7 linked regions of the Macaca fascicularis genome follow. The main gene of each other region encodes a partner of the protein of the gene in region 4 in a complex. Links are inferred from orthologs where the notes say so. Each region holds a gene or a part of one and is shown on either strand. Other genes may lie near its edges. The genes, in order: CCKAR, HTR6, GPR174, GNAS, TAAR1, GPR4 and VIPR1.

The links.
Region 1: the proteins of GNAS (region 4) and CCKAR are in contact, whole or in part, in a cryo-EM structure (PDB 7XOV), measured with the Homo sapiens proteins. The link is inferred for Macaca fascicularis from reciprocal best matches to the Homo sapiens genes GNAS and CCKAR. Residues at the interface, in NP_000507.1 of Homo sapiens: Gln31, Gln35, Arg38, Ala39, His41, Asp215, Val217, Phe219, Asp354, Gly355, Tyr358, Phe376, Cys379, Arg380, Ile383, Gln384, Arg385, His387, Leu388, Gln390, Tyr391, Glu392, Leu393, Leu394; in NP_000721.1 of Homo sapiens: Thr76, Glu138, Arg139, Ala142, Ile143, Cys144, Pro146, Leu147, Gln148, Ser149, Arg150, Val151, Gln153, Thr154, Lys155, Glu235, Leu236, Ser301, Ala303, Asn304, Ala307, Lys308, Arg310, Val311, Met314, Phe372, Met373, Asn374, Lys375, Arg376.
Region 2: the proteins of GNAS (region 4) and HTR6 are in contact, whole or in part, in a cryo-EM structure (PDB 7YS6), measured with the Homo sapiens proteins. The link is inferred for Macaca fascicularis from reciprocal best matches to the Homo sapiens genes GNAS and HTR6. Residues at the interface, in NP_000507.1 of Homo sapiens: Arg38, Ala39, His41, Asp215, Lys216, Val217, Phe219, Leu346, Thr350, Tyr358, Cys359, Phe376, Arg380, Asp381, Ile383, Gln384, Arg385, His387, Leu388, Arg389, Gln390, Tyr391, Glu392, Leu393, Leu394; in NP_000862.1 of Homo sapiens: Arg124, Leu127, Ile128, Pro131, Leu132, Arg133, Lys135, Leu136, Ile211, Gln218, Gln221, Val222, Leu225, Thr226, Lys265, Ala266, Thr269, Leu270, Phe323, Met324, Arg325, Asp326, Lys328.
Region 3: the proteins of GNAS (region 4) and GPR174 are in contact, whole or in part, in a cryo-EM structure (PDB 8IZB), measured with the Homo sapiens proteins. The link is inferred for Macaca fascicularis from reciprocal best matches to the Homo sapiens genes GNAS and GPR174. Residues at the interface, in NP_000507.1 of Homo sapiens: Lys34, Gln35, Arg38, Ala39, His41, Val217, Phe219, Thr350, Asp354, Gly355, Tyr358, Cys359, Tyr360, Phe376, Cys379, Arg380, Asp381, Ile383, Gln384, Arg385, His387, Leu388, Arg389, Gln390, Tyr391, Glu392, Leu393, Leu394; in NP_115942.1 of Homo sapiens: Phe44, Tyr47, Arg53, Ala54, Val55, Ile56, Phe57, Met58, Ile112, Arg115, Arg116, Phe119, Leu120, Met121, Pro123, Phe124, Phe126, His127, Asp128, Cys129, Gln131, Ser211, Leu212, Asp214, Met218, Gln220, Asp221, Leu222, Glu224, Lys225.
Region 5: the proteins of GNAS (region 4) and TAAR1 are in contact, whole or in part, in a cryo-EM structure (PDB 8W88), measured with the Homo sapiens proteins. The link is inferred for Macaca fascicularis from reciprocal best matches to the Homo sapiens genes GNAS and TAAR1. Residues at the interface, in NP_000507.1 of Homo sapiens: Gln35, Arg38, Ala39, His41, Asp215, Val217, Phe219, Thr350, Tyr358, Phe376, Cys379, Arg380, Asp381, Ile383, Gln384, Arg385, His387, Leu388, Gln390, Tyr391, Glu392, Leu393; in NP_612200.1 of Homo sapiens: Thr58, Asp120, Arg121, Ala124, Val125, Cys126, Pro128, Leu129, Arg130, Tyr131, Lys132, Ala133, Asn136, Ile213, Ile216, Ala217, Gln220, Leu223, Ile224, Asn228, Lys248, Ala249, Thr252, Phe307, Tyr308, Pro309, Trp310.
Region 6: the proteins of GNAS (region 4) and GPR4 are in contact, whole or in part, in a cryo-EM structure (PDB 8Z9O), measured with the Homo sapiens proteins. The link is inferred for Macaca fascicularis from reciprocal best matches to the Homo sapiens genes GNAS and GPR4. Residues at the interface, in NP_000507.1 of Homo sapiens: Gln31, Lys34, Gln35, Arg38, His41, Asp215, Lys216, Val217, Tyr358, Tyr360, Phe376, Arg380, Asp381, Ile383, Gln384, Arg385, His387, Leu388, Gln390, Tyr391, Glu392, Leu393, Leu394; in NP_005273.1 of Homo sapiens: Gln45, Arg49, Asn50, Leu52, Asp114, Arg115, Ala118, Val119, Ala120, His121, Pro122, Leu123, Arg124, Arg129, Arg130, Lys132, Tyr201, Ile204, Ala207, Val208, Gly210, Ser211, Val212, Ser213, Thr214, Glu218, Lys221, Ile222, Leu225, Asn290.
Region 7: the proteins of GNAS (region 4) and VIPR1 are in contact, whole or in part, in a cryo-EM structure (PDB 8E3Z), measured with the Homo sapiens proteins. The link is inferred for Macaca fascicularis from reciprocal best matches to the Homo sapiens genes GNAS and VIPR1. Residues at the interface, in NP_000507.1 of Homo sapiens: Gln35, His41, Val217, Phe219, Asp323, Arg342, Asp343, Leu346, Tyr358, Pro361, Phe376, Cys379, Arg380, Asp381, Ile383, Gln384, Arg385, His387, Leu388, Gln390, Tyr391, Glu392, Leu393, Leu394; in NP_004615.2 of Homo sapiens: Arg174, His178, Tyr239, Leu240, Leu243, Leu244, Ala245, Val246, Ser247, Phe248, Arg252, Leu319, Lys322, Leu323, Pro326, Asp327, Ile328, Arg329, Lys330, Ser342, Leu345, Leu346, Leu391, Asn392, Gly393.

What each region holds. Positions count from the first base shown.
Region 1 is NC_088379.1:25,621,653-25,625,851, forward strand, and holds the start of CCKAR (cholecystokinin receptor type A), read right to left. Parts: upstream 2,801-4,199; 5' UTR 2,586-2,800; coding exon 2,207-2,585; intron 1-2,206. UniProt on the Homo sapiens protein: Receptor for cholecystokinin. Mediates pancreatic growth and enzyme secretion, smooth muscle contraction of the gall bladder and stomach. Has a 1000-fold higher affinity for CCK rather than for gastrin.
Region 2 is NC_088375.1:215,423,211-215,427,401, forward strand, and holds the start of HTR6 (5-hydroxytryptamine receptor 6), read right to left. Parts: upstream 2,801-4,191; 5' UTR 2,691-2,800; coding exon 1,968-2,690; intron 1-1,967. UniProt on the Homo sapiens protein: G-protein coupled receptor for 5-hydroxytryptamine (serotonin), a biogenic hormone that functions as a neurotransmitter, a hormone and a mitogen. Also has a high affinity for tricyclic psychotropic drugs.
Region 3 is NC_088395.1:85,831,960-85,835,904, reverse strand, and holds the start of GPR174 (probable G-protein coupled receptor 174), read right to left. Parts: upstream 2,801-3,945; 5' UTR 2,313-2,800; intron 1-2,312. UniProt on the Homo sapiens protein: G-protein-coupled receptor of lysophosphatidylserine (LysoPS) that plays different roles in immune response. Plays a negative role in regulatory T-cell accumulation and homeostasis.
Region 4 is NC_088384.1:114,906,198-114,910,330, reverse strand, and holds the start of GNAS (guanine nucleotide-binding protein G(s) subunit alpha isoforms XLas), read right to left. Parts: upstream 2,801-4,133; 5' UTR 2,267-2,800; coding exon 136-2,266; intron 1-135. UniProt on the Homo sapiens protein: Guanine nucleotide-binding proteins (G proteins) function as transducers in numerous signaling pathways controlled by G protein-coupled receptors (GPCRs).
Region 5 is NC_088378.1:36,598,587-36,602,848, forward strand, and holds the start of TAAR1 (trace amine-associated receptor 1), read right to left. Parts: upstream 2,801-4,262; 5' UTR 2,676-2,800; coding exon 1,659-2,675; 3' UTR 1-1,658. UniProt on the Homo sapiens protein: Intracellular G-protein coupled receptor for trace amines, which recognizes endogenous amine-containing metabolites such as beta-phenylethylamine (beta-PEA), 3-iodothyronamine (T1AM), isoamylamine (IAA), cadaverine (CAD), cyclohexylamine (CHA), p-tyramine (p-TYR), trimethylamine (TMA), octopamine and tryptamine.
Region 6 is NC_088393.1:53,656,564-53,660,466, forward strand, and holds the end of GPR4 (G-protein coupled receptor 4), read right to left. Parts: intron 3,734-3,903; 5' UTR 2,907-3,733; coding exon 1,818-2,906; 3' UTR 501-1,817; downstream 1-500. UniProt on the Homo sapiens protein: Proton-sensing G-protein coupled receptor activated by extracellular pH, which is required to monitor pH changes and generate adaptive reactions. Activated by an optimal pH of 6.8-7.2.
Region 7 is NC_088376.1:105,375,611-105,379,110, reverse strand, and holds part of VIPR1 (vasoactive intestinal polypeptide receptor 1), read right to left. Parts: intron 2,829-3,500; coding exon 2,725-2,828; intron 2,232-2,724; coding exon 2,099-2,231; intron 1,535-2,098; exon of another isoform or gene 1,417-1,534; intron 1-1,416. UniProt on the Homo sapiens protein: G protein-coupled receptor activated by the neuropeptides vasoactive intestinal peptide (VIP) and pituitary adenylate cyclase-activating polypeptide (ADCYAP1/PACAP).

The sequences.
Region 1 (4,199 bases), on a different chromosome or scaffold from region 4:
TGTCCAAAAAGCTAAATTTCTATTATTTTTGTATATGCATACTTATTAAAATGTCCTATTATTCCCTTAAAATTCCCTGTAGAGTCCTTCCGCTATAAATTCTGTCAATTCTTCTGAATATCTCTTACCAAGATTTCTTAAACCTCCGAATTAATATAAATTTGGGAGCAGAGGTCCTGAAACTGGGGTCCTTAGTTTCTCATTATTCTTATGGATATAAACTAATTCTCTGAAACTATATCCAAAAACGTCATTTTTCTAGGGAGCCTGGCTCTAGCTTTCCTTAGAGTCTTAAAGAAGTCTATGACCCCCAAACCATTAACTAAAAACTCATGTTCTGGGGATAGGATTTGCTGTGTTTTACTGGATTTTACCCTAAAGAGTTGATGACATTTAGAGTCGAGAGTATAGCCCAAAACTCTCTAAGAGTCAGTTCTGTGTAATGGATCCTCAGTAACTATAAACTCACTGGCAGGCAAGCATTCTTTTTCTTGTTGCTACAAATTAGGAGCTAATCAATGTTAATTATTAGTATTGAGGAGACTGCAAAATTAAGAGAAGAACCTAAATTATTGGAATTAAAAATCCAACAAAATTATTATGGTATTGCAAATACTTTCAGAATGATGTTTCTTTTCTTTTGGCCAATAAAATTGTTTTTATGCTGTTGAAATTTACATAACATAAAATTAAACATTTCAAACTGAACAACTTTGTGGCACTCAGAATGTTTTGCCACCATGAAAACACTCGTTTTAAACCTCGGTTCACATTCTCCGGTTAAGGTTCCCAAATAGTATTACCATAAGATATATATGGATGGGCCTTGGATGTCTACAGCACTAGTTATTATTATTGCTTCATTATTTAACAATGATCTTTGTCCTTTGTAAGTTTCGTCCTTTTTTTTTTTTTTTTTTCAGAGGACTTGGACACGGATTGACACATTCTTGGTTTTTGGTGGCACGAGGGTCAGAAATTCATCATCATTTTGTCAGTGCGGAATCCCACTTCCTCAACTGGGAAAAACAAAGACTTTTAAAGCCTTCCGGTCATTGAAGACTACCCTAGCCCAGCTCACTGCTGCATATTCTTCAAGGCTTGGGTCAGAACAAAAATAACTCCCTGCTTATTTCCCACCTCTGCCCCTCTCCCAACTAATTCTCAGAAAGGGCAAGGGACTAGGCAATCTGGCACCCAGAGGGGACCAAGAAATGTGTCTTTGTTCAACTCCAGGAGAACCACAGCAGTTGGCAAACTGAGGTAGCATGCTCACCACTGTGTGGCTACTAATCTGGACTCAAATCTCAGCTCTGTTGCTTACCATCTGTGTGGCTTTAGGCACATTATGAACCTCTCTGTGCCTCTGTTTCCTCCTTAATGAGACAAGGAAGAATCATTGCATTTACTTCATAGAGTGGTTGGGAGGTAAGGTAAGATCATGAAAGTCAAAGCACTTAGTACCACATGGGGTGCATAAAAGCACAAAAAATTTAGCTCTTGTGATTTTCATTATCATCATTTTTGTTTGGCATAGGCAAACAGCTACATATCTCAGCCAATCAGGGTCAGCTTAGCGACCCCACAGCCCCCAGGAGCAAATTCAACTCCTCATCTAGGGGCAGAGACCTCTCTCCCTTTGCCAGAGATGGTCCCAGCTTTGGGGAGAACAGGCTGAGAAGTGAATCCTGGCAAGAGAATCTGGAACTGTGATAGAACTGGTTTTCAAATAGCCCCTGTTCCCTAAGAAAACAAGAGGAACAATGACAAAGAACCCTCCTCCATAATCCTTACTCTCCCTAGAAGCCAGGACTCAAGTTGGGTATAGCTCAGGACACAGTCAACAGCTTCCAGAAAGGGATAGAGCAGCTTAAAGTCACTTTTGACTTCAAACAGAAGGAAGCAAGTCCCTCTTTCCTTCAAATAGAATCAGGCAAAATTAACTGCCCCTGTGTTTTCCTATCAATATATTTCACTCTTAGAAACTGACCTCCAACGTGGATGATGGGGACCGACTTACGGGGAACATATAAGGATGACCGTCAAGTCAGCAGCAATGTCCTTGCACACAGCCGTGCACAGCCTAATGTTCTGTGATTCAGCCCTCAGCAGAGGTCTTCTGCTGTGATTGTCAGAGGTTTGGGAAGGTCTGGGGCTGAGTGGGGTCTGGGGCAAGCTCCAGAAAGAGTCACCAGCAGCAACTTACCCATGAAGTAGGTGGTGGTCTTGCAGACGGCGCTCCCGAAGATGAAATCCTTGAGCAGACTGGGGATGAGGTTGAACGGCATGCAGAAGAGGCAGAGCATGAGATCGCTGACAGCCAGGGAGAGGAGGAAGATGTTGGTGACCGTCCGCATCCGCTTGTTCCGAATCAGCACGGTGATGACCAGCGTGTTTCCCAGCACGCTGAGCAGGAATATCAAGGAGTACAAGAGAATCTGCACCGCTGGCTGCCACTCTGCAGACAGCAACAGGAGCAAGACGGAGGGATGGAGGTGATGAGAGCAGAATGCTAAAACCGAAGCCAAGGGTGATTTCCTGCCGATTTCCCCCCTCACCGGGGTGTACATCACTGGACCCACCATTCCTGTCCTGACAACATTTTGCAGAAACAAACTGAGGAAAGCAGAGACTGAATTATTTTGTTTGTAGAAGGTTGGTTTGTTAAAGGATCACTCAGGGAACCACTTTTTCTTAAGAACAAAGCTCCTCAAGTGAACAGTGATCACTTTCTTTCCTGGCTGCTAAGCATGATTTCACTGTAACCACTTCACGCTGGTTTCCCCCCAAGAAAAGAAAACGGCTGCATGGTGACAACACCTTTTCTGCTGTGCTTGTAAGTTCAGGCTTTGACACTTGTACTCCCTCTTGCTTCACTCAGCTTTTCCTCCCCTGCTTTTGTTCCCTCAAGTCCTATTCATGAATGCCCAACTCTCCCATGGGGGACAATAAGAATATTTGACTCTATTCTGCTTGTTAATCTCTTCTGCAAACTTCTGAACATATGACTTTATCCAGCCTTGTCTCACAATGACTTGGTTATGTATATTTTTTTATCAGCCTTGCCTTTGCTGATTTCTCCCGCAACTCAGTAGTTTCCTGGATTAAAATAACAGCTTCCGACACTTACCTTTGGAGGGACGAGGCTGATCCAAGCAGAAAAGCGTCTCATTTTCGAGCCCGAGTTCGCAGGGAGGAGTGATGTTGCTTCCATTCACAAGAAGGCTGTCAACCACATCCATCCTTGCCTGCTGCTTTCCACCAAGTGCTGGAGAGCTGGTGAATTGCTCACTCCCGGCTCATTTCTCTAATGACTGAAGCGTCTCCCAAATGCAACCTGCCGTGGAGGAGCAGGGAGGGAGTGATTTCCAGGTGTGGGCTTTTTCAGCCATTCCTAAAGGCGACTTGAGTTCACCACACTCACTCCAGCTGGGCAAGCATTTGCACTCCTGTTGTGGAAAAGGCAGTGAGCGCAAGCGAAGCCCGCTCCACCTTCACCCCCGACCCCCCCGGCCCTTTCCTGGGCCAGTCTTAGGGCCCTGAGCACAGACAGCCTGGTTGCCTGTTAACCATTCTCAGAGTGTGGCTGCTTTTATACACACATGTGTACACACGCACGGACACATACACACACACACAGGCTTCCCCAGTACTCCTCTATATAGGAACCTGTCACCATCCAAGACATGTGCAGAAGAAAGCCCAAACTGGCTGTATGAGACAGGAACAATTAACACGGTAACAGATCCGATAATGCAGACCATCAGGCCTAAAGAACACGGAGGGACTGTGTTCTACCTCCTTATAGAAAAGCAATTAGTGCCTTTTTAGTTCTGGAACCATGCCCGGTGGTGTGTGTCTGTGGATAGAACTGCTGGCTGGTTGTTAAGTTGCTACTAAACACAGTGTTATTTCTCGTGGTCTCTGCCCTTGTTAACTAGAAGGATTGAGGTACTTTTGAACATAGGTACCTGGGTCCTTATTACAAAAGATGTTAGTAAGATTTCCTCGTCATTCATGAAGTCTTGCGTTCAGCACATCTTCACTGAGAGTCAATCATTTGCCAGGCACTTTTCTATCATGTCAGCAAATAATGAACAGAATTATTTCAGGTAGTAAGTACTATGAAGGAAGTGAAGCAGGGAGACGTGATGTATACAAACAGATTAGGGACTGATTTTTTGGGGGGCGGGGACAGG
Region 2 (4,191 bases), on a different chromosome or scaffold from region 4:
TAGCACTTTGGGAGGCCGAGACAGGAGGATCGCTTGAGCCCAAGAGTTCAGTGAGTTTTGAGCGTGCCAGTGCATTCCAGCTCTCCAGGCTAGAATGAGCCAGGATAAATTCTAGGCTGCAGTGAGCTATAATCACGCCACTGCATTCCAGCCCTCCAGCCTGGGTGATAGAGCAAGACCCTGTCTCTTAAAAAACAACAATAACAACAACAAAAAAACAAGAACCCAGGGTATATGGCCCAGGGCAGCCATCCCATCCCTGAAGAAGCAAATCAGAGTCCCAGGCACCTGCCAAGACTCAAGAATATTCTGCAGGGAGCATGGATGGGGGAAGGAGCAGGGCCGCAGCCAGGACTCCCAGTCCATGTGGGGCCCTGTCCCCACCAGGTGATGGGCAGGGGTAGCTTTGGGCCTCACCACTGGGGTGGGACAGGCAAGCTTGTCTGGGGGACTGCCAAGGAGGGTGTTAGCCTTTCACCCCTCTGCCAAGTCCCCATGTGCCCAGTGACCTCCAAGGCAACCCTCACCCTCCTAGAGCTTTCGCCACCCAAGGCTACACCAAAAGAGCCCAGCTTGGACTTTCCTCAAGACCTGCGACCTAAGTCACTGGGTCTCAGGCCTGGTCGGTCTACACTCCCACCCCCTCCCCGAGGGTGGACAATAGGAGTCAGGTACACTGCGGCCTGGATGGCAAGAGCTGGCACTCACTTACAGACAATGCAAGGCCTTGAGCTAAGAGCACCTAACCCATTCTGAGGCACCGAAATTAGATAGGACCTACTATGCACAGTGGGGATCAAAACTGACCTGAATCAGGAGTTCAAGACCAGCCTGGCCAATATGGTGAAACCCCGTCTCTACTAAAAATACAAAAGTTAGCCTGGCGTGGTGGTGGGTGCCTGTAATCCCAGCTACTCAGGAGGCTGAGGCAGAAGAATAGCTTAAACCCGCAAGGTGGAGGTTTCAGTGAGCCAAGATCGCACCACTGCACTCCAGCCTGGGCGACAGAGTGAAACTCCGTCTCAAAAAAAACAAACAGAAAAACAAAACAAAAAAACTGACCTTGATATGTGTGACCCTCCTGGAGCTTATATTCAAGTCAGGGAGGCAGAATGAACAAGTCATTCTTATGACTTGTTCTTATGGAGAATAACAGGGGAGGGTGGATGGGCCTGCAGATAGGGTAGTCAAAGATGTCCCCTGGGAAGAGGGCAGCCGGGGGAAGAACATTCCAGGCATAGGGAACAGCAAGTGCAAAGACCTGGGCACAGAAGTAAGCCCAGTGCCTTCTAGAAGCATGAGAAAGGCTACAAGGCTGTTGTAGAGTAAGAGAGAGGGAGAGTGGAGGTGACACTGGAGAGGTTGGCAGTGCCGGATCCTGAGGCCAGATCCTGAGACAGGTTTTCTTTATCTGGAGCACAATGGGGAGCCTGAAGTCTGAAGCAGGGGAGCGACATGATCACTTCTTTTTTAATTGCTCCAGCTTCTAGGCAGAAGATGGAGAGTAGTGGGTCTGCAGCAGAAGCAGTGGAGCCAGTAGAAGTCTACGCAGCCTCCCCAGTAAGAAGTGGCAGTGGAGATGGCACCTGTTTAGAGGCAGCACCAATAGGTCTCGCTAATGAATGGCATGAGAGTGAAGGAGAAAAGTATTTCTAAGTTCCTGGCATGTGATGCCGAAATGGTGCCATTTGCCATGATGGGGAAGACCAGGGAGGCAAAGATGGGGAGAGTTGGGCCACCATAAATTCCCTGTTGTACATGGTGCCTGGGAGAAGCCTGCCGCCTATCCTGACGGAGCTATCCTGTGCTGGGTGGGTCAGGCATTGGGTCTGGAGTTCAGAAGAAAGGTGGGTGCTCACAACTGCCACGCAGGGCCATGAGCAAATGTGTGCTAAGTGGGGATGCCCAGGGGGTTCCCAGGGGCTGCTCATTCCTCTGCATCCCACAGCCCAGGTCTCCCTGCATACCCCGGGTACCTGCAGTGTCTCCGAGGCCTGGCTGGCCATGCCGGTGGTGAGGGAGGCCACCTGCACGGCTTGCTTTCGGGCAGCCAGCAGGATCCTGCAGTAGGTGAAGCATATGGCACCGGAGGGCAGGAAGAAGGTGAGGCCCGACGCCACGAGGACGAAGGGCAGGCTGGCCAGCAGGCGGCACTGGCCCGGGACTGGGGGCCGTGCGTGGCCCAGCTCGTGCCAGCCCAGCAGCAGGGGCAGGAAGGAGGCGAGCGCGGCGAGGCTCCAGGCGCCCAGGACTAGCGCCAAGGCACGCGGGGGCGTCATGCGCAGCTTGTAGCGCAGCGGCGAGAGGATGAGCAGGTAGCGGTCCAGGCTGATGAGGCAGAGGTTGAGGATGGAGGCGCTGCAGCACATTACGTCGAAGGCGGTCCAGAGCAGGCAGAGGCCGCGCGCCAGCACCCAGCGCCCGTATAGCGCGTTCAGCATGGCCGGCGGCATCACCACCAGCCCCACCATCAGGTCGGACGTGAAGAGCGACACCAGGAAGAAGTTGGACGTGTTGCGCAGCGCGGGCTGAGTGCAGATGAGCACGATCAGCAGCGAGTTGGCCGCCACCGTCAGCGCGATGACCACGCACAGCGCGGCCGCCACCCAGCCGCTGCCCCCCGGGGCCGACGGCGGCCCCGCCCCCCAGGCCGGGGTGCTATTGGCGGTGGGGCCCGGCTCTGGGACCATGGGGACCGGGGGTGGAGGGTAAGGGCGTGATAGGGTGGTGGGAAGGCAGGTGAGGGCCCCGGCGAAGCGCAGGCTGGACGGGCACCGTCGGCGAGAGCAGACAGCGACTCACCACGCCCCCCGGGGGAGGCGAGTGGGGAGACATGGGCGGGGGCACTGGGTCGCGCTAGGTCAGGGGGCAGCGACCACAAGAGGACGCAGAGTGGCTATTTGGGCGCCCTCGGGAACGGGGCAAGGACACCTGGAGCAAACGGGTTGGAAGTTTGGGGAGGGGCACCCGATGAGCCGAGGCCCCTAAAGGAAGCGGCGGGAAGTCAAGCAGATGTCGGATGGGCGCCCCGGGGTGGGAGCAGAGAGTCCTGGAGGGGGCGGGCGGCAAGATAGGGTAGGGGCGTCCGGCCGGGGCAGAGCTCGGGGAAGTGGGAGCGCGAGGAGGTGGGCGCGGGGGGTGAATGGGCGCTCTCGGGCCGGAGCAGACTCCCCGCGGCCGGTGGGCGTGTGGGGTGCCAGGGTGGGGTCTGCAGGGCGGGGGCCTAGGGGCCGGAGCAAAGCCCCCCGGGGAAAGGCAGGTCTCAGCTGGCGCGGAGGCACCGGGATCGGGCTCACACTGCGCGGGGGTTCGCCGGGACCTCCAGGCCCCGCGGGAAGCGGAGGGCAGCGGCCGCGCGGCGCCCCCTCCCCACCCGGCCGCAGGGTCGCCTCCGCCTCCCGCCCGCACTGGTACCTGGGGCGCTCTGGCTTCTCCGCCGCCTGCGACTGCGGCAAGCGCCGCGGGGCTGCGAGAGGAAGAGGCGGCCGCGGGCCGGGCGGGCGGCGGGCCCGGGTCTCCCGAACCCGGGAGGCGCCGCGAGGGGCCCTCACGCGCGGAGGAGCGGCTGGGTGCAGCCCGGAGCGCGCGGTCTCCGCGCCGCGGAGCGTGCGTCCCGCCTCCCGGTGGGCGGGGAGAGCCGAGCCCTGGCCCTGCAGGCGGGCGGGGTCCCAGCACCCCGGGCCTGTGGGCCGAAGATCCGAGCGCCCCAGCTGCGCGGGGTCACCTTCCGGGCTGCGGCAGCCCCCGCACTCCCAGATGCCCCTCCCAACCCACACGGGGCGGCGGCGCAGGCGGAACTCGGAGAAGGGGGCTGTGACCTGCCTTTATCCAGGGACTGCTCCCTAATGGGTGCCTGCCCACTCACAAGGGGGTCACCAGGCTTTCAGGGGAACCAGGAGTTGGGAAATATTGGACAAATCGCCTGACACCTCTCTGGGCCTCAGTTACCATAGCTGTAAAATGGGTTAGTAATTCTGGGCATTCTTCATCGTTAGTTTGATCAAGAAGCTAACCTTTCCCTGCAGAAACCATCCCGATCGCCAAAGGGGCCGGGTACTAAGGATGAAGTCCCTGAGCTGTTGGCGCTCCTAGTCTAACAGAGCGTGAACAGATTTGAGAATCCCCAGGCCAGGTGGGTTAGAGTCTCTGCAGGCAGAGGCCTGGGGTGTTGTTTCCCCTGGTTGTGACCTC
Region 3 (3,945 bases), on a different chromosome or scaffold from region 4:
GGTCTTTCTTAATCTTGTATTACAGCATCTAGCATCAATTTGCACTTTGATTTTTGTTTGTTTGTTTTGTTTTGTTTTGTTTTGTTTTCTATGAGCACAGTAGGAAAAACTCTTTCCTATTATTGGAAGGAAACAGTGGTAAAGCCCAGCAACTCAAGGTCTGTTACAATATTAGGGCCTTTGGGGGAAACCTGAAGTGTGCCTGATATTGAGAGATTCTTGAATGCTCTCAAAATGAAATCTTTTAATATTTCCCAATGAATAATGAATTCCCAATGAATAAGAGACCTGGATTCTACCTTTGTCTCTGTCACAGACACACAGTGGTACTTGACCCAGTCACTTCACCTCTATGAGTCTCATTTTTTCCAACTGCACAATGTACACTATAAACCTACTTTACTTTCCAAAGCATAAAAGTCTCAGATGTTTGCCATTGCTCTGAAAGTGACCAGAGCTGAATCTGTTTCTGACAATTTCTTATTCTCTGACTAGGGATCTGGAGACTGATTCTTGAGACCTATAGCATACAAAGAAGGTTTTGGGTGGGGAGTCACTTTAATGGGCAAGGGAAGAGGTACCTACTGTGCCCCACTTTTATCAAGATTGGGTGGAAATCAGGAAAAGGAGTTTACTTCCCTTTTTGGTTCTGGGTAGCTCATTGGTGCCAAAGTATCTATGAGCAGAATGCAGGTGTGTTTCTTTGTCCTCTTCCTTTCAGTTACCTAGTACAAAGGGCCATAATAAAGTGCATTCATTCCTAGGGGTCTTCGGGTGAAATTCAGTGAGATATTGGGAGCAGTCTATGACTCACTTTGTGTTTATTCATCTTTACATTATTCGGCATCATATTAATCTGGCCCCAACAAAATAGATACACTAGATAGTTCCTATCTCATACACATATTATTACAAACATAGCAAAGTAGAGCAGTACACGTGTTCACAAGTGCAAAGCACATTATCTGTAATTAAAAGTATATCCTCCTTGAACACAAACTTCTTGGCATACCCAAATGTTTGCTAGTGTGACTGGTATAATCTTGCCCTGGGTGGAAGAACTTTAATCCTCTCTATAAGTTTAATGTTTTTGTGTTTATATCTGATATTTACAGAAGCTAAAGGAAAAATGAAATACTCTTTGCTGAATGATCCAAAGCTCTCTAAAGCATATAGTTCTGCTTATTGAATAAAATTATAACTTTTTCTTTTATGAAAAATTTTGAACAGTATAAAATAAAGTCCATGTACATTACTGTTGACAGGAGAGGATGGAGCAGGAAAGTTATTTGAGATTTAATCATGGGTCATGTTGTAACACATCCCTCCTCATTTCTATCTCTCTCTCACATAGGAATTCATGAGTTTTTTCTTTTAGTCTCTGAATGCAGTTCCTAGCAGTTACACACCATTTATAGTGTCATCATATGGTTTAAAGTCCAAAGGCACCGTCCTAAACATTTCCTCTTGGAGCACAAAAAGGAGACAACATGCAAACAAGGAAATAATTTCACTTACATTTTGTCAAAGTCAATTTTGAGTATCTAGAAATGTAAATTAAATTCAAAATCATTTTAACCGTTGTTGATTTTTTAATGTGCTGATTACTTACTTTCGTAGATAGAGCTTATCTATGAAAAACAGAGCAACTGTGCCTGTTATCTTTCTTATTTCCCCTTTCTCTCATTATAAACACGTTTTCTTAAACGTGTTTGAAAGCAGAATCTTTATATCTATCATTAATTACAACAATTAACTTTTACAGTGAAAATAAGTAACTTACACAAGCTGATAGGAACATGCATTTATATTAGCTAAGGTCCTGAAATATTATATCTCTCATTTTTCAAATAATCATTCATTTTGAAAAGGACACAAAGTTAACCAGTTTAATTATGCAGCAGATAAAAATAGCACCCCCAAAGAGTTATAGCAAAGAGTAGATAAAAATTATCCTGCACCTTTATGTAAGCAACTCTACTTAATACAAATGGGTTAAATTGCAAATGTTCATAGGACTATTTTATTCAATATCAATTGAGCTAAACACATTATTAAAAATATCTCCATGTCAAACTTAAATTTTCCCAAGTTTAAAGTTGCCTCCCTCCTCTGGCAGCCCATCATACACTTGTTTTTGTTTCTTCAAATACCAAGGAAATGACATTTAAGGATGGTCCAAGTTCATTATATCCATAACCATCCTTAGACTTGACAAGTTATACAGATCTTTGTGTGAAGAGTCCAGTTCTAGATATTAAGGGAAAAATGCACAGATGAGAGCTAATTATGCATAAATAATTAGAACCTACCATTTCAGTTTCTTTCTGTTTTCTTCAGAGATCTCCAAAGAATTCATGTGACGCCCACTCCAACAAGGATGCTACTGATCTGTGCATCAATTTAAGCTCCCTGTTCTGAAAATGACCAATCCAATTCTCCTTCACTAGCCAAAGAAAGAAAGAAAGAAAGAAAGAAAGAAAGAAAGAAAGAAAGAAAGAAAGAAAAGAAAAGAAAAGAAAAGAAAAGAAAAGAAAAGAAAAGAAAAGAAAAGAAAAGAAAAGAAAAGGAAAGGAGAGGAAGGAAGGAAGGAAGGAAGGAAGGAAGGAAGGAAGGAAGGAGTGAATACGGGAGAGAAGGAGGGAGGGAAGAAAATAAATAAAAGTAAAAATAATACAAAATAAAAGAAAGCCAAAAGAAAAATTATGAAAGCAAAAGGAAAAATATAAAATAAAATTATCAGGAATATCTAACCACTATCATGTTGAACATAGTAGTAAGATGTCAGAGTGAAATATGCAAGCCACTCTCTGTGTACACTGAACATTTCCGTTTTCCAGGGGGCAGCCAGCGTGCTCTTTTGCTTTCATTCTCTCCGCCCCCGCCCACCCCCGTTAATGATGCAGGGCTACACTACAGGCTGCATGTAGAGCCTGCAAAGCTTCACACTTAGGAAAAGAAATTCTTCTTTCTATTTCTAGGGCCACAGTTCATTGTCTTCTGTGGTTGCACTCAGCTTTGAGCTCATGATAACACACAGCCTATTTGCCTATTGAGTCCTTTGCTGAAGCTAGGAGCCCTCGAGTTGCTTCCATAGATAGTGGACCACCGCAGTCTTAGGGTGATCCTTTCTCACAGCCTCTCACTTGCATTCAGTTACCAAAGCGAAAATTCTCAAGAATGTTCCCTAGAAAACTGCCAATAGAAGAGGTAAAGGTGAGCATGATCTCTGCCTAGGGCATTCTTGAATACACAAACCTCTAAAATTCTCACATTGAATTAAATACCGCACTCCTTAAGAGGAATCTGGAGCTATAATCCACCTTCCACTTCCTGTCCACCCACTTCCCATTGCCCTCAGAGTCCCTGTTACCAAGAAATGCAGGTAAATCTCCATTTCTTCTTAGTAGTTAGGCAGGATCCAATGAAAAGAGGTTGGTTTTCTGCAGCCCAGACCCATTGCCACAGGCTCTTGAAGATGGTATTCCAAGGAGTCACAGAGTTCCAGACCCCTGAGACCAGTGCCACACTGTATTAGGCACTTAACACCCCCCTTCCCCACTCCCAAAGGTAGATGAACAGGAAGCAACTTGAGGTAATACCCATGACTTGGGTAATATCTCTAGATCAGAGTAAAGGGACTTTTCACATAGGCCATGGAAGAAGAAAATATGTTATTGCAGGTCCAGTCTCATGCCAGGACATACCTGTGTGGTACATTATAGGGAATACCTGGAGGGCTCTCCACCTCAAAATATCACCTCCACTTTGCCTGAAACACCAATATTCTAGAGGCAAGAATTTATTTCTTCCTTAGGTCTTGATTTTAAAATTCTCATTCTCCTAGAAATACACTTACTTGAAAATGTTGGTATGAATGAGTTTAGAACTGTAAAGGTAGGAGTACATGTTGAGAACAGGATATAAAGGAAAACTGAAGAGATC
Region 4 (4,133 bases):
CTAGCAAGCTCTTCCCGCCTTTGGCTGGATCCCCTCCTCCCACTGTCGAGCCCCGAGCCCCAGCAGGCAGCCCTGCCACCCCCTACCCAGTTCCCCGGCGGCCCTGCTGCCCGCAGGCAGAGTCCGCCGCATTACCTAGAAGCAGCAGGCGGTGCGTACACATGTAGCCCATCTTTTCGTCCTGGAGTTGTTTGTCGATGAGCTTGCTGCGTTTCTTCTCTGCGCGCTTCTGGGCCCGCTTCTCCAGGGCTTCTTTGCGCATCTGTCTGCGCTTCTCCACCAGGGGTACCTTCTTGACCTTGGAGGAGTGCGAGGCTTTGGGCTGGGGACTCTCAGATCGACCGAAGCAGCCCCCGAAGGCTTGCATGAGGAAGTTGCGGAGTAAGTTGCGCTGGGGCTTTCGGCGGCGGCGATTTCGCCGATGCTGAAACCAGCGGATGCATCCGAAGGTCCCATCGTCGGACTCGTCTCCGCTGGAGTCATCGTCGCTGCTGGCCGCCCCTTCATCGTAGTACACGCGGCGGCCGCAGCTGCGCTCGGACTTGCCCCGCCAGGCAGACGCGCGAGCAGGCCGCGGAGTAGGCGGATCGGCAGCCTGGATCTCGGGGCTGGGGGGTCTAAGGTGATGGAGCTTGCGTCTGGCCCCGGAGGCAGGGGCTGCCGAGGCCGCCCGGGCGGCTTGGGCTGCCCGGGTGGCAGAAGCGGCTGGGGCAGTGGGAGCCCCGGCGTCAGGCGCAGCTGGGGCGACATGGGCTGCCCGGGTCTCAGCAGCCGCAGGGGCCGCGGGAACCTCAGGGGCTGCCCCGGCATCTGGATCGGCTGGGGCGTCAGGGGCTGCCCCGGCATCTGGAACCGCTGGGGCGTCAGGGGCCGCCCCGGAGTCGGGATCGGCCGGGGCGTCAGGGGCCGCCCCGGAGTCGGGATCGGCCGGGGCGTCAGGGGCCGCCCCGGAGTCGGGATCGGCCGGGGCGTCAGGGGCCGCCCCGGAGTCGGGATCGGCCGGGGCGGCAGGGGCTGCCCCGGAGTCGGGATCTTCTGGGGCTGCCCCGGAGTCGGGATCCGCTGGGGCTGCACGGGCTGCCCCGGTGGCGGTATCCGTTGAAGCTGCCCCGGCGGCAGGGGATCCGTACCCCGGAGAGGGGACTTTTCCTCCCTCCGCGGCATCAGCGGCTGTGCTTCCTTCCATCTCTGCTGCTTCCTCCTCAACTGGGGGTCTCTCTGCTCGCTCTCTCTTATCTGGGGCTCCGGAGACCTCGATGGGCGGGCCGTCAAGCGCGATTGGGGGGCTGTCCATGTTGACGGGAGCGTCGTCGACCCCAGCGGGGGCGCTGCCAATCTCGAGCGGGGGTCCGGAGATCTCCAACGGGGGGCCGCTGCCCGTGAAGTTAGGAGGAGGTCTGACAGCCTCTCGGGATGGGCTGCCGATGGCGCCTGGGACCCAGAGGGGAGGCGCGTTCGCGGCGGGAGTGAGGCGGACCGCACTCGAGGCCGCGACTGCCGCGAACTGGCCACCGCGGTCAACTTGTGCGATAACTCGGGAAAGCCCCGGGGGTGGGCTGTCGTCCCCAGATCCTTCTCCATCAAGCTCAAATGGCATAGTCTCCTCAGGGGGAGGGCTGTAGCCTCCTCTGGAGCCAGTCTTTGGAGGCCTGAGGGCTTGGGGCTCCTCGGGAGGAGCTCCGGGGACCCCTGCAGCACCTGGGCCTCCTGGAGCAAGGTCTGGGACCTGTAAGAGAGGTTGACTGCAGCCTGTCTTGGCAGGCTGGTCAAACTCAAAGGGCATAGCTTCTTCTGGTGGAGGGCTGTATCCTCCCAGGCCTGGTCTGGCACCACTGAAGGCTCCAGGTTCCACGAATGCTGGGCCGAAGGCCTCAAGGCCTGCATGGGCCCCACTGGGGGATCCAGGCTGCTCCAGTGTAGGCCAGAAGCCTCCCAAGCTGGGCTGTTCGACCTCGAAGGGCATTGCTTCCTCAGGAGGTGGGCTGTAGCTTCCATGGGCTCCAGCTTCCCTGAATGCCGGGTTGAGGACCTGAAAGTTGGGCCTGGAGACCTCTGGGGGTCCACAGGCCTCGCTGTCATTCTTGATGGGGATGGGCTCGTTGTGAGGCGGTTCGGTCTCCATCTCTTCGGCTGGGCTAGGCCCAGCACCGGGGGCAGCTGCCCCTGGGGCCTCCAAAGATGGTTGATCGGGCTGTTCCCCGATTTCAGGGGGGATATCGCGTTGTCCTGACATATTATTGCCGTGGAGGCAGTTGCGCACGCCCATAACAGGGTGGCGGCCTCTCAAAATAAGTTTGGGGCTCCGTAAGACGGAGCACCCAACCGAACTAGGGTGAAAAAATTATTATTGTTATTTTTAAATCAAAGTACCAGCTGGAAAGTTCACCAGCCTCACTTTCCAACCCTTGTGAGGTTGGGGGGCTTCAAGGCCTGGAACCCTAGACTGAGGCTGAAGCAACTCAATTGTTGCTGGTGGAGTCTTGGCTCCTTTCTGGCCACTTTTTATCCCCTCAGTATGCCCCCCAGCCCCTCTTCCTTGGTCTGTCCTTATGCCCTCCTCTCTCTTTCTTTCTCCTCCAGGCCAGTCCCGCCTGCTTGGATCTGACGAGCGTGCCGATTCGGTCCGAAAATCGCCAGTAGCGCTCTCTCGCTGCCACCAGAGGACGCCGGTTCCAGTGCCGAGCTGGCTCCAGCTCCAGAATCCTGCTCCTCGCGCCGCGGCCCGGGACTTTGGGTAAGGGGGCTGACGAGCGCAGGCCTCGCAGGGACGTTTTGGCTCCTTCCACTCCTCTCCCTGACTGATTTGGAATCTTTCTCCTCGCTTCTCCCCTGGCCAGAGAAAGCTCTCCTGCGTTGCGGGACACGTGACGCAAGACGTGGGCCTCGGGACGCTGGAGTACAGGAGCTGAAATCCTCCCTCCCCAACCCAACCGACTCCTCGGGGGAGGGGGGACTGAAGAAGGGTTTCATCACCCCAGGATACCCCTGAAACACTGAGTCATAGCCCCCAGCCTCCAGGCAGCTCCGGATCTCAAGCCCCTAGTCCAGAGCGCAAGGCTTTTGGTGCCTGAGAAGGGGCACAGGCATGCGTGGGGATGCGACAGGTGGTCGTGAGCCCACCAGAGAAGCAGAGAGAGACGAGGGAGAGGGGATGCCGAGTATGCGAGCACACAATTTGTTTTTTAAATGCCTTGGGTGTACTTTTTACTGCTTTTGTTTGTTGCTTGCTGAGGTTGGCTCCGGTAAAGCACTTTAACAGCCCCCACCCTCATCACACTCTAGGGGTCTCCGCAGTGGCCCACGCAGCGCAAGCAGGGTGCTCCCTTGTTTATGTGGATGGTGACGCAGGGGAATAAGAAGGTCTCGGGTGCGTACCACCAAGAGCAAAGCCCCCTAGGCAGTAGCTGCGGTGGCACCGATGGAGGGGTGGGGGGCGTGCTGCGCAGAGGGGGACCCCACAAAGCGGCCGCAGAGTTTCGCAGGTCCTGCGGTTCTAGGGAAGGGTTAAAGGGGATTTTGGTTGGCGTTTATGGCCGGTTTAGGGTGATTTCGAGAGTGGACAACGCTGTGGGCACTGAACCCACAGATAAACACCATGCCGCGCGGCAACCGCAGCTGAGGTGCGCTGCTCGCTGCTTCGGGTGCCGGCCGCAGCACCGGTCAGTCTGCTCCTTTAGCCCCACTACAGCCTGTCTCCAGCACCCTTCCAGCCCCTCTCCTCTCGCTATGGGTATCTTAGGGTAGTCGCTTTAGTTTTCCACTGCTAGAGCCTACTGAGGCGGCACTGAGCCCGCCAACCGGCCACAAACCCGGCGGTTGCCCGCGCAGCTGCGCTCCCGCTACCATGCTGCGGTGGGCTCAGAGCTAGCCAAAGGTAAATACCCAAACCACCTGGTGACCTTGGTGTGTGCACATGCTATGCTCTGGTCTGGGGTCTGCAGAGGGATTTGAGCCCGGGAGAAAAGCTGCTGTTAGGGGGTCACGTAAAACCCGGCAGGTGCGCATCAGGTCGGTCTCACCAGTAAGACAGATTGGTGAACCACGTCTAGGCACAGAGCAGCTGGGCAGGAGGCAGGGGGTCACCTGACCTGCAGAGTCCTGCGGGAGGAGAGGCTGGATGAGCGTTACACAGG
Region 5 (4,262 bases), on a different chromosome or scaffold from region 4:
CATAAAATTACTGCAAAGTATAGAAAACTCACTAAATGCTTGTTTCCTTTTTAAAATTTGACAGACTGGTCTCACAGGTGAAAAAACTCTTCTGAAACTGAGAGTGGTTAGGGACACTACTTAGTTTGTCTTGCGTATACTAAATTAAAAACATAAAACATAATGTTTTTAAAATGTACTAGAGCAAAACTTGATACAGATCATTCAGACAAAATATATACTCCAGAAACAGACTATAATTTCTGGAAGGATTTAACATATCCTCAGGAGATCCTCAGATTTGTAAACAGAAATTTATATGCAGCAGTGTGCATTCAGTTATGTTTAAAATCATCTGCCTTACCCTAAGTTATTCATGGGCCGAAGGTAAATCCAAATCCCTGGTGATACTCAATCTGAAACAGACCATGTGAAGTTTGTATTCATCAGCTCAATTGCTGATGAATGCTTGTAATTTAGAATGTTTGCCCACTTCCTTTAGAGAATCTTATTTGAAACCATTATTTGTTCCTCTTTTTTATTTTTATATATGCCATCTAAATAGCCATGGTATATCCAGTCTGATTATACCTCTTGTTGGCCCTCATGTTTAGCTACTTTGATGGATGGCTGCTTCTCTTTCTGTGTACTGTGGAGCCCAGCAAAGTAAATTTGTTTAATGCCAGATAGCCTGTGTTTTGAACCCTATCATGCCAGATATGACCTTAAGACATGGTAAAATCCTTCTAGACATTTTCATGACTTCAGTAGCAGGTAAAAAGCAGAAATTTCATTTAATTAATATTATTTTTAGAAAAGTTAGAAACAACTGGAATTGTTAACAATAGGGAATGGTTAAAAATATATTTGTACATCTGTGCAAAGTCACATTATACAGCCACAAAAAGGGATTACTCGTAGCCCAAACCTCAGCAGCATGCATTATATTTAGTTAACAAATGTGCACACATACCCCTGACTCCAAAATAAAAGTTGAAAAGGAAAAATATTAATATAAAATAAAGAATTTTAGATGATATAATCCTTACCAGGAAGTATGCTGTGAGTAACATTTTTAAAATTTCATTTGGTTTGTACATATTTTATTTTCCTTCATTTTTCAAATTTCTCAGACATATGAGAATCAGAAAAACATACTTTAAAAATATGAAACTCAAGATATTTAAGGATTGGAATATATATTAACAATATAAATAAATTATGTGTCAACACTTATTTAGCAGTAACATTTAATGTGTGTACTTTTAGTTGATTTTACTAAAAGACATATACACATATGTGACAAGGACATGTACACATATATGACAAAATCATTCTAATTTGCATCCTCAAATTCAGCCCTATAGTTTCCACCACTGAACAGCTAAGGTACCATAGCAAACTCATGGCAGTTCTTCTAAGGGCAGGAAAAGTTATATACAATGCAGGCCTTTAAATGCTGGAGTTGCAAAGTTCCGATATGCGTGGTAAGAATGGAAAAGATTATACCTCCTATATCCCAAATAGGAAATTACCTATAAGCATCATAATTTAACTCACCAAACATGCTTTGACTCAAGTAACTGATTAAAAAAATCCATGTGGTTGGGGCATGTGGTGGGTTATCTTGTGTTCATAAACATGATCACCAATTTGCAAAACAGTAAAATATAATAATTCTATGAACTCGATTCCAAAAATAATTTACACCTGGATGAATCCTTTTGGAAAATTTTACCAAACAGAATCATCTTCAGTGCTTTTCTAAACCAGGGATAGAAAAATGCATAAACCATTGGATTAAATGTAGAGTTCAAGTAGCCAAACCAAATCAATACATCGTTCAAAGTAGGTGGAATAGTGTAGTGAAGAAAAGGGTCGATGACTGTACAGACAAAGAAAGGGCACCAGCATATTAGGAAAACTCCCATCACAATCCCCAATGTCTTCACAGCTTTCCTTTCTTTGCTTTGTGAAATTCCATTTTTCATTTCCAATCCAATTTGGAGCTTCTGATTGGCATCATTAATTGATCTTGCCTGCTCTTTAGCTATAAGATATATTCTGTAATAGATACATAACATAATAGATCCAGGTATGTAAAAAGAAGTCATAAAGGCCAGTACCCCAGATATTTTGCTAAAGAACACAGAGCAACCTCCTCTGCAGTGAACATGTTTGTAATATATCTCTTCAGCGCCTTTGAAGTTTAGCTCCAGAAAGATCATCCCAAATGCAAAAACAGCAGGGACACTCCAACTAATGAAGATCATCACACAAACAACCAAGATATTGATCTTGGCTTTATATCTCAGTGGGTCACACACAGCATAGTAGCGGTCAATGGAGATGAAAGACAGATGGAAAATGGAGGCTGAGCTCAGCATAATGTCGGTGCTGGTGTGGATTTTACAGAAGACTTCTCCAAAATACCAACAGTGCTCAGCAGATCTCACCATGCTGTAAGGCATGACCAGACACCCCAGAAGAAAGTCCACAGTGGCCATGGAATGAATGAGCCAATTTGTCGGAGTATGAAGTTGCTTGAAGTGTGATATAGAAACAATAACTATCAGATTGCCGACCAATGTGGTCAGAATTATGAGCGCCATTAAACTGTACAGGGAAGCACGGACATCATTTGACCAGTTGTTTTTCACACAGGAAATATTAATTATATTGTGGCAAAAGGGCATGATTCCTGAGGGCTGTCAACCAGTTTACTTTTCCCTTTGTGTGTTGATTAATCTTTTTCCCAAATTTGTAATCAGGTTACAGTTCCTTCTCGTTTTTATTTTTTATTTGCACATACCTATCCCAGAAACCTAGGAGGGAAAAAAAAGAATAAATCATTGGCAGTTTGATTCCTCTCACTTCTAACACGTTTACCTATTACTTCCTGTTGAAGAGCAGTTATTTTGGAAGGAACTTTATTTCCAAGTTCCATTCAATAGTTCAGTACAGCAATTTTTAAAAACACTTTTACCTGGAGCTGGACATTGTTCTAGAAATACAAAGCTAAATTATTACGTTGAACTATATGAAACTTCCACATTTGTAGGTCAGAGAAGATCAAATGATGATTATGATCCACATCTACGGAAACAATCTGTGTCCACACAAAGCCAGTCTAGTGGGGGAGACTTACATTCTAAAGGGTAGAAAGAAATTGCCAGAAAATTTGGAATTAAAATATGTTTATGAAAAAGACAAGAAGTCTTTTAAATGTGCCTCTTGTGCAGAATTAATACCCACTAGTGCCCACTTTTGCACTTGGTCATAGGTAAGTTATATATTTCTTATTTTATAATAATTAATTGTAATAAGAAGCAGCTTACATATATTTATTTGCAGCTTGCAAAGTACTTCTACATATATTCCATGCATTATTTCAGTTACTGTTTTATTTGACACTTATAAGACCAACTTCATTTTTTGTAAGGAAGATATGATGCTTTATTAACCTCATTTTACTGGCAAGAAATTGAAGTTTAATTCACAAAATCATTAAAGCTTGACTATGAGCTGTAGTCTCAATGACTAGCTCAGTTTCTTTGATACCAGTCCAGTCTTTCTCTCCATTGCAGAAAGAACCAACTCGAGGTCAATTTTTAAAAATTAAGCTTTAAATATTCATATAAGAATTTATGGTGTCTTAAAAAATGGCAGCTACTAGTAAAGAATGATATTGTGGTCCCGCTTATTAAGGATTTTTGATATACAGACTAAAGTCTATGGTAAGAAGTGAAGTGGCATGGTACAAAGAGCACTGAGGTGAGAGCCTAGGGAAGCTGAGTTTCCACGTGGGCTGTGGGCAAGGCACACGACATCTTTAGTTTTTAAGTTCTGAAATCCAATCTCACTTTTAAACAGGTAAAAAAAATTATTATGAGTAGGCATCTTCTACTAGGCCTCCTTTTATTGTACTTCACTAAAGAACCTCAAAGTTCCAGGGAACTCAGTTTGAAACTGTCCCTTTTGTTTCTATATAACCCTGTAATTCTGAGCTAAATTCTAGAACTTAGATTCACACATACACATATATGCGCACACACACACACATATAACATATATACAGACATGTACATACATATATATAAAGAGAGAAGGGGGGAGAGACAGAGAGAGAGAGAGGAAGGAAGAAAAAGGAAAGAAAGAAAAGAGAGAGAAAGGAAGAAGGAAGGAAGGAAGGAGGGAGGGGAGAGAAGGAGAGAGGGAGAGAGGGAAGAGGGAGGGAGGGATGGAAGGAAGAAAGAAAAAGAAGGAAGGAAGGAAAGAAGGAA
Region 6 (3,903 bases), on a different chromosome or scaffold from region 4:
TTTGCTCTTGTTGCTTAGGCTGGAGTACAGGGGCACAATCTCAGCTCACTGCAACCTCTGCCTCCTGGGTTCTAGCGATTCTCCTGCCTCAGCCTCCTGAGTAGCTGGGATTACAGGCACCCACCACCATGCTCAGTTAATTTTTTATTTTTGTATTTTAGTAGAGACAAGGTTTCACTATGTTGACCAGATGGTCTCAAACTCCTGACCTCAGGTAATCCGCCAGCCTTGGCCCTCAAAGTGCTGGGATTATAGGCGTAAGCCACCATGCCCAGCCGAAAATTCAGACACTCTCTAACCCCAGGGCCCTTGCACCTGCAGTTCTCTCTGCCTGAAATGCTCTTCCCACGACAGCCACAGGGCTGAGTGCCGCACATCCTTCAAGTCTTTGCTGGAAAGCCACCGCAACAAGCCCTCCTCTGCCCTCCTTATTTAGATCAGACTCCAAGTCATCCTCTGTCCCCTCAACTGGCCTTACACAGAAAAATGTCCCCTTCACATTTAGCAATTCCAAACATTACATATTTTTTATTTACTTGTGTATGGTGAGCCCTGTGAAGGCAAGGCCAGGCTGCCTCAGTTATTGCTGTATCCCAGCCCCACCCAGCACAGTGTGCTACATAAACCTCTGTTGAATGAATGAATAAATACGCAGCCGGGTGCAGTGACTCACGCTTGTAATCCCAGCACTTTGGGAGGCCGAGGCAGGTGGATCATGAGGTCAGGAGATCGAGACCATCCTGGCTAACATGGTGAAACCACGTCTCTACTAAAAATACAAAAAAATTAGCCGGGCGTGGTGGCGGGCACCTGTAGTCCCAGCTACTCGGGAGGCTGAGGCAGGAGAATGGTGTGAACCTGGGAGGCGGTGCTTGCAGTGAGCTGAGATCGCACCACTGCACTCCAGCCTGGGAGACAGAGCGAGACTCCGTCTCAAAAAATAAAATAAAATAAAATAAATACCCTTTTCTCTTGTCCCAAACCTTCTTCCCAAACCTTCCTGCATCACTCCTCCAGGCAGTCTGCCCTGATTGCCCTTCACTTGAGTTCTGACATTCTCCCTCTTCATCCCCAGTCCTGACTTGGAGATCACTGTTTATCCAGAAACTTAGAATTGCTGTCTTACGTTCTCTCCCCTGTATGACCAGGGGCTTTACAAACATGATGATTCTATATCCTCTGTATTTCTCCTTCCACTTTCTCCCTGAGTCACAGACTTTTATCCACTTGTTGGAAAAAAAAAAAAATCTAACCTACTCTATTTGTCTTTATTTTCTGGAAACCAAATGTTTGACTTAATTTATCTGGCCAGACATGGTGGCTCACATCTCTAATCCAAGCACTTTGGGAGGCCGAGGCAGGAGGATCTCTTGAGCCCAGGAGTTCAAGATCAGCCTGGGAAACATAGTGAGACTCCGTCTCTACAAAAAGTACAAAAATTAGCCAGGCATGGTGGCGCACATTTGTGGTCCCAGCTACTTGGGAGGCTGATGTGGATCTCTGGAGCCCAGGAGGTGGAAGCTGCAGTGAGCCACGATTGCACTACTGCACTCCAGCCTAGGTGACACAGCGAGACCCTGTCTCTAAAAAAAAAATTTACTCATCTCCTCCTCCAGGAGGCCTTCCACAACTGCCAAACTGTGATGGCATCTGGGAGCACAAAAGTTGACCAGCGACACACCAACCTCACTCTTCCTAAGTTCTTGTATTCTTATATTAACATAGCCCTTTTTCCATACAATTTGCATACACCAGACCAGGAGAGAAGGGACTGTGGGATGAGAGGGGAAAACTGGGGGTTCTGTGCCACACGGGGTTCACTGTGCTGGTGGCAGCATCTTCAGCTGCACCTGGTCCCCCTGGGAGGGCGGAGTGGCCACCCAGCCGCCAGTCATGGCCTTGACTGTGCTGTTCCTCTTGGAGGTGAGTGGGGTCTCCAGGGTGAGTGAGGCGTTGGCCATCTCCTGGGGCTTGTCGCTGGCCAGAAAGCGGAGCAGGTTGTGCAGAGCCTTGGCCACGTCGCTGCGGGCACCCTCGTTGACCAGGCAGTAGAGGATGGGGTCCGCCACACAGTTGAGGCTGGTGAAAGCCAGTGAGCTGTGGTATGCAGAAAAGACGCGCTCCTCGAAGCCGCAGTCCCAGGGACGGCCCAGGTAGATGGCGCTGCGGGACAGCAAGAGCACGTGATAGGGCGCAAAGCAGACCAGCACGATGGCGATGAGGCTGAGGGCCAGCCGCTTGATCTTGGCCTTCTCCTGGCGCTCGGTGGACACGCTGCCTCGCACGGCACGCAGGATGCCCCGGTACGACAGCAGCATGAGCGCCCACGGGAACAGGAAACCCACGAAGACCCGATAGAGGTTCATCCAGGCCACCCAGCCTTCCATGGGGAACTTCTCAAAGCAGAAGGTGTGATTGTAGCGGTCTCGGAAGAGCTCGTCATGGAACAGGGGCGCCGAGTTGGCGCCCAGCTCCGTGGCCCAGACCACGGAGCTCACGGCCACGGCGGTCTTGACGCGGCGCAGGCGGGCGAAGCGGAGTGGGTGGGCCACGGCCAGGTAACGGTCCACCGAGATGCAGCATAGGAAGGCGATGCTGATGTAGATGTTGGTGTAGAAGATGAACCCGAAGAGCTTGCAGGACCCGGGGCCGTGGATCCAGTTGTCATGGTGCAGGAAGTAGTCCACCCACAGCGGCAGGGTGCAGATGTACAGCAGGTCGGCGATGCTGAGGTTCATCAGGTAGACGCCCAGCTCGTTGCGCTGTTGCACCTGGCGGTAGGCCGCCCACAGAGCCAGGCAGTTGGTGGGCAGCCCCACACCGATGACGAAGATGTAGAGGGATGGCGGAAACAGGTGGTCCACAAGTGAGTCCACGTGGCAGCCCTCCCACGTGTGGTTGCCCATGGTGGGCACTTCGGCTTCTGGGACGCTTCCCCTGGCCCACGGGGGCTGTGGGGCCACGGGGAGCGGGAGGCCATGGGGCCCCCTGAGCCCCTTCCTTGGAGGCTCAGGGGAACATGGTGGGATGTAGTCTACAGGGAAGAGGTCGGGTAGGCTGGGCTGGGCTGGGAAGGGCAGAGCTTGAGAGGGAAAAGTTGGAGGAGGAATGGAGTTACGACAGGAAGGAAGTCTGGAGGATGATGAGATTAATAAAGAGATTTGTCAAGGAGGTTATGTATAGAGTTAATCAGGGTGTCAATGAGGGAGTATAGGGGTGACACAAAAATTGGTCTCGGGGAGTGTTTATGGAGGGGACGAAAGCATCACTGGGCAACGGTGAGAAGGAGATGTTTGCAGGGCAGTTAGGAAGTATGTGTAGCCATACTGAAGTAATAATGGCTGGGGGATGTTCTAGAAGACACAGGAAATACATGAGACAGTGTTGAGATAGGACACAGGGCAGTTAGGGAGTGTCGGAAAGTCCAGGCAATGCGGATGGGAGTGCTGGCATTTCCTAGGACCCCAGAAAGAAACAGAGATAAGGTCACTAGTAAGGAGAACGTTCTGGAAAAGGAGGTGTCTGGCACAGGGTGGACAAAGACAAAAGGCTCAGTCTGGGGACTGCAGGAAGGAGTCTTAGGAAACAGGAAGCAGGTGAGTAAGGTCTAGATCAGAGATGAGTTTGGGGACAGAAGGGAAATTTGAATGGGGGCAGGGGAGGGACTCCAGATTGGTCCTGGTGGGGGCTGAGAGACTGGGATGAAGTCAGTTCACCGCTGACTTTGCAGTGCCTGTTGGGAGAGAGGACAACAGTGAGGGAGTCACGGACACTCTGACCTTCTTCTCCCCACACTCCTCACCATAATTGCTGTGGGCTGCAGAGAGTGGACACCCCAACAATGCCTACTTGAGCCCCACCCTAAGCAACCAGTCTCTGAGAACACAGATTTGAGGTTTCAGG
Region 7 (3,500 bases), on a different chromosome or scaffold from region 4:
GTACCCACCCATCAATCCATTCGTGCATCCACCCACCTATCTACCTACCTGCCCCTCTGCCCATCATCTGTCCAATCTTCCTTACTTTACCCATTTATTCTGCTGCCTACTTAGCCATCCACCAACCTGCCCATCCACACCCCCACCCCACCCACTCATTCATCTAATGCCAATTTGTATTGAAGGTAGCTGGAAGGTATGAGGGAGAATTCTTGCCTGAGTTTGCAAGAGTCTGCTGAGTGTGGTGGGGTGGAGGGCTGTGGACTGTGGAGTGGGGCCCAGATGGAAGTGTGGAGGGAGACTGGGACTGAGAAGAGGGTAGGAGATGAGGAAGTAGAAATGAAGAAGAGAAGAGGGGAGAGTTGGCCATTCCTCCTGGGGTTCAGAGGACCTAGTGGAAGAATGGTTTTCTCAGGCAGACAAGGACCATGAAGGAGTCAGGGAGACCCATGAGTAGGGCAATCACGGGCCTCTGGGTGGCCCTGTTGGCATGACTGGAAGGTATTCTGGGCTTTCTGTCCCCTCCCAGAAAGTCCCCCATTTCAGATCAAGCCTAGATGTCTGTGAGCCAGGGCTTAAAGCCACCCTCCACCAGGAAACTGTCTGGCTTCCACTTCCTCCTGTACCCAGAACATTGGTTCCCACCCTTCCTTCCTGTACCCTTGGTTTGAGAGATCCTCAGAGAGAAGCCTCCCCTCCCCTAATGCCCGCACCACTCCCTTTGGTTGGAAAGTCCTTCCTCAGGTCTCACTTCAGTCCCTCCAGTTACAGGAGTTCTTGCCTTCCCATCTTCCCCCCATTTGCTTTTGGAGAATAACTCAGCTCTTTTTTTTTTTTTTTTTTTTTTCTTTTTTTGAGATGGAGTCTTGCTCTGTCGCCCAGGCTGGAGTGCAATGACGTGATCTCGGCTCATTGCAATCTCGGCTAATTTTTTTGTATTTGTAGTAGAGGCAAGGTTTCACCATGTTGGTCAGGCTGGTCTTGAACTCCTGACCTCGTGATCTGCCTGCCTTGGCCTCCAGAAGTGCTGGGATTACAGGCATGAGCCATCACGCCCGGCCATAGCTCAGCTCTTTACCAGGACAGTTATCTGTGCTTCCTTCTAGTCTCAGAAAAGCTTTGCAGTAATGAATCAGGAAGCCAGTCTCCATAATTATCCTTAACATGTGCACAGGAGGCAGCAGGTTCCTCCTCAGGTCCCGTGGCTCGCACTGCTCATGTCTGACTTGGCTTCTGGGACAGAACCTCTGAGAAGCTCTGGGAGTGGCCAAGGTGGGTCCCCTAGATTTTCTCTGCCCCTTGTTGAAATGCCTGAGATTCCAGTATGATCATTTCACTCTTTGGGGAGAAGGTACTGCTGACCCCTGATATAATGCACTGCCTCTGGGGTCATGCATGAAGCAAGGAGATACTGACCACAAGGAATGAGTGGGGGCTGGGCTGGTCTCAAGCTCTCTGTCAAAGCTTGAGGTACTCAGAGAGGGTCCCTCAGAATCCCTCGGAGATGGCCTCCTTAGTGACTGGCAATGAATTCCTTAGATGCTCCTTTTACCTCTCTTCCTTAGGAAGGCCCAGAACCAGCTTGATGTCAGGATCAGAACAAAAGAGGAGGAATGCATATGTTTGGACCCACTCCAGATGGCACGGGGATGGGGGGAGTAGGAAAAGTGGCATGGTGAACACAGCCCTTGCTATGCAGGTGACAGAGGGCAGAGTTGGAAGGAATGGAAGTCCTTGCACAGATGGGGACACTGAGGCTGTAAGTTCCCCAAGGCCACATAGGAAGTTAGCAACAGGTGGTACAGGGGCTCTGGGCTGTGGCCATGACGTGTCCCATTTCCCATCTGCTTTTCTTACTGGCGGGGGCGGGTCCGTGAGCTCCCAGATGGGTGAGCAACATCTTCTGTTGCCAGAGGGGAGTGTGATTTGAGGAGTTGCCAGGTGGGGTTGGGTGGGGGTTGGGCCATCCTTGGATTGAGGGGTGGGATGGGAGGGAAGAGGAAGGAGGGAGAGGGAGAAAGAGGGGGAGAAGAGGAGATTACGGTGGCTAAAGATAAGGGCGAAACTGAGGGAGGTGGGCCAGGGCCAGGGTCCTCACCGAGCCCTCGGAGCACCGGTCCGACTCCCCGCTGTCGAAGAGGGCCAAGTCTTTGATGAAGACAGCAGCAGCCCTCAGGATGAAGGATATGAAGAGGTGCATGTGGATGTAGTTCCGCGTGCAGTGGAGCTTCCTGCATGGGGTGGGCAGATCTGGGAGGCCAAAGGGGCCTTGGATCCCCACCCCAGCCAATGCTGTCCCATGCTCTGAGCAAGGGTGGGGCAGGGGAGCATGTGTTCTCCAGAGGGCAGGCCCTGCCTCGAAGGGGGTCCCATCCAGAACTACGAGCCCCACCCCCGGTACCCCATCCTCCTGTGCGGCTGGGCTCCCAAGTGCCTCAGCCTCGTGTGTGACCCCAGAAACCTCATTCCTGTGTGCAGACCCCACCCTCTGGTGCCCTGTCCCCAAGTGCAGGGCTATCCTAGGGGAGACTAGGTTGCAACACATGGAACAGCTCAGTCATCTGCCTTTCCCAAGGGAAGCTGGCCTGGCAGGAGCTGGGGACTGTGTGCTGCTGGGGGGCAACGGTGGAGGGGTCGGGGCATGCCTGCACCACGCTGGGCTCCACTGTGGGAGGGACACTTGCCAGGTTTCCTTTGAGGCCTGTCACTTGGGCTGGGCCTCACCTGAACAGGCTCAGGATAGCCGTGGCGACCAGAAGGGTGGCGAGGGACAGGCCGTAACCGATGGTGTAGCCGGTCTTCACAGAACCGTAGAACATGGTCTGCTGCTGTTGGAGGGACAGGGAGAGGCTCTTGGGTGGTGGGGTGGGAGGCTCATCTAGGGGGTATTGGCAGGGGTGGGGTGCCCTACACACTCTGCCTGCCCACCCCTGCCTCAGCAAATGAGCAGGCTGAGGTCTGAGGCTCCCAAGAGCAGCTGAGCGGAGCTCTTCAATCCCCTGACCCCTGACGCCCTGGTTTCCACAGACAGGGCAGGACTGTGTCTTAGGGTGGGGTGGGGGTTGAATGTACTCCCTCTCTTTGCATCTTTATGAGGGACAAGTTGGTGAGGGAGAGAATGAAGACCTTGCACGTCCCTTTTGTTAATTTCATGTCTCCAGCCATGTGCCCGGGTTCCCTTCTGTGCCATCTCTGAGCTGGGCACCCTAGGGGCCAGGTCTGCTTGCCCTTCAGACACCCCTTGAGGCCCTGTCTTTGTGCAGGGAGGAGAGGCATGCAGAGGTTGCAGGATGTCAAAGAAGACACTGGCACTAATGTCCCATTTTGGGCTCTTGGGAATTGGGGTTGGTGGGATGAGGGCAGTCTGGCCTTTCTTGGGGAGGAGGGCAAAGCTAGACCCCAAGGGTGTCTTGCTTGGTCCCCTCTCCTGATGCCCTCCCCATGGACGCAGGTGCAGTGCAGCACAACAGCCACTAGGTAAGCCCCTCCTTCCTCTCCGC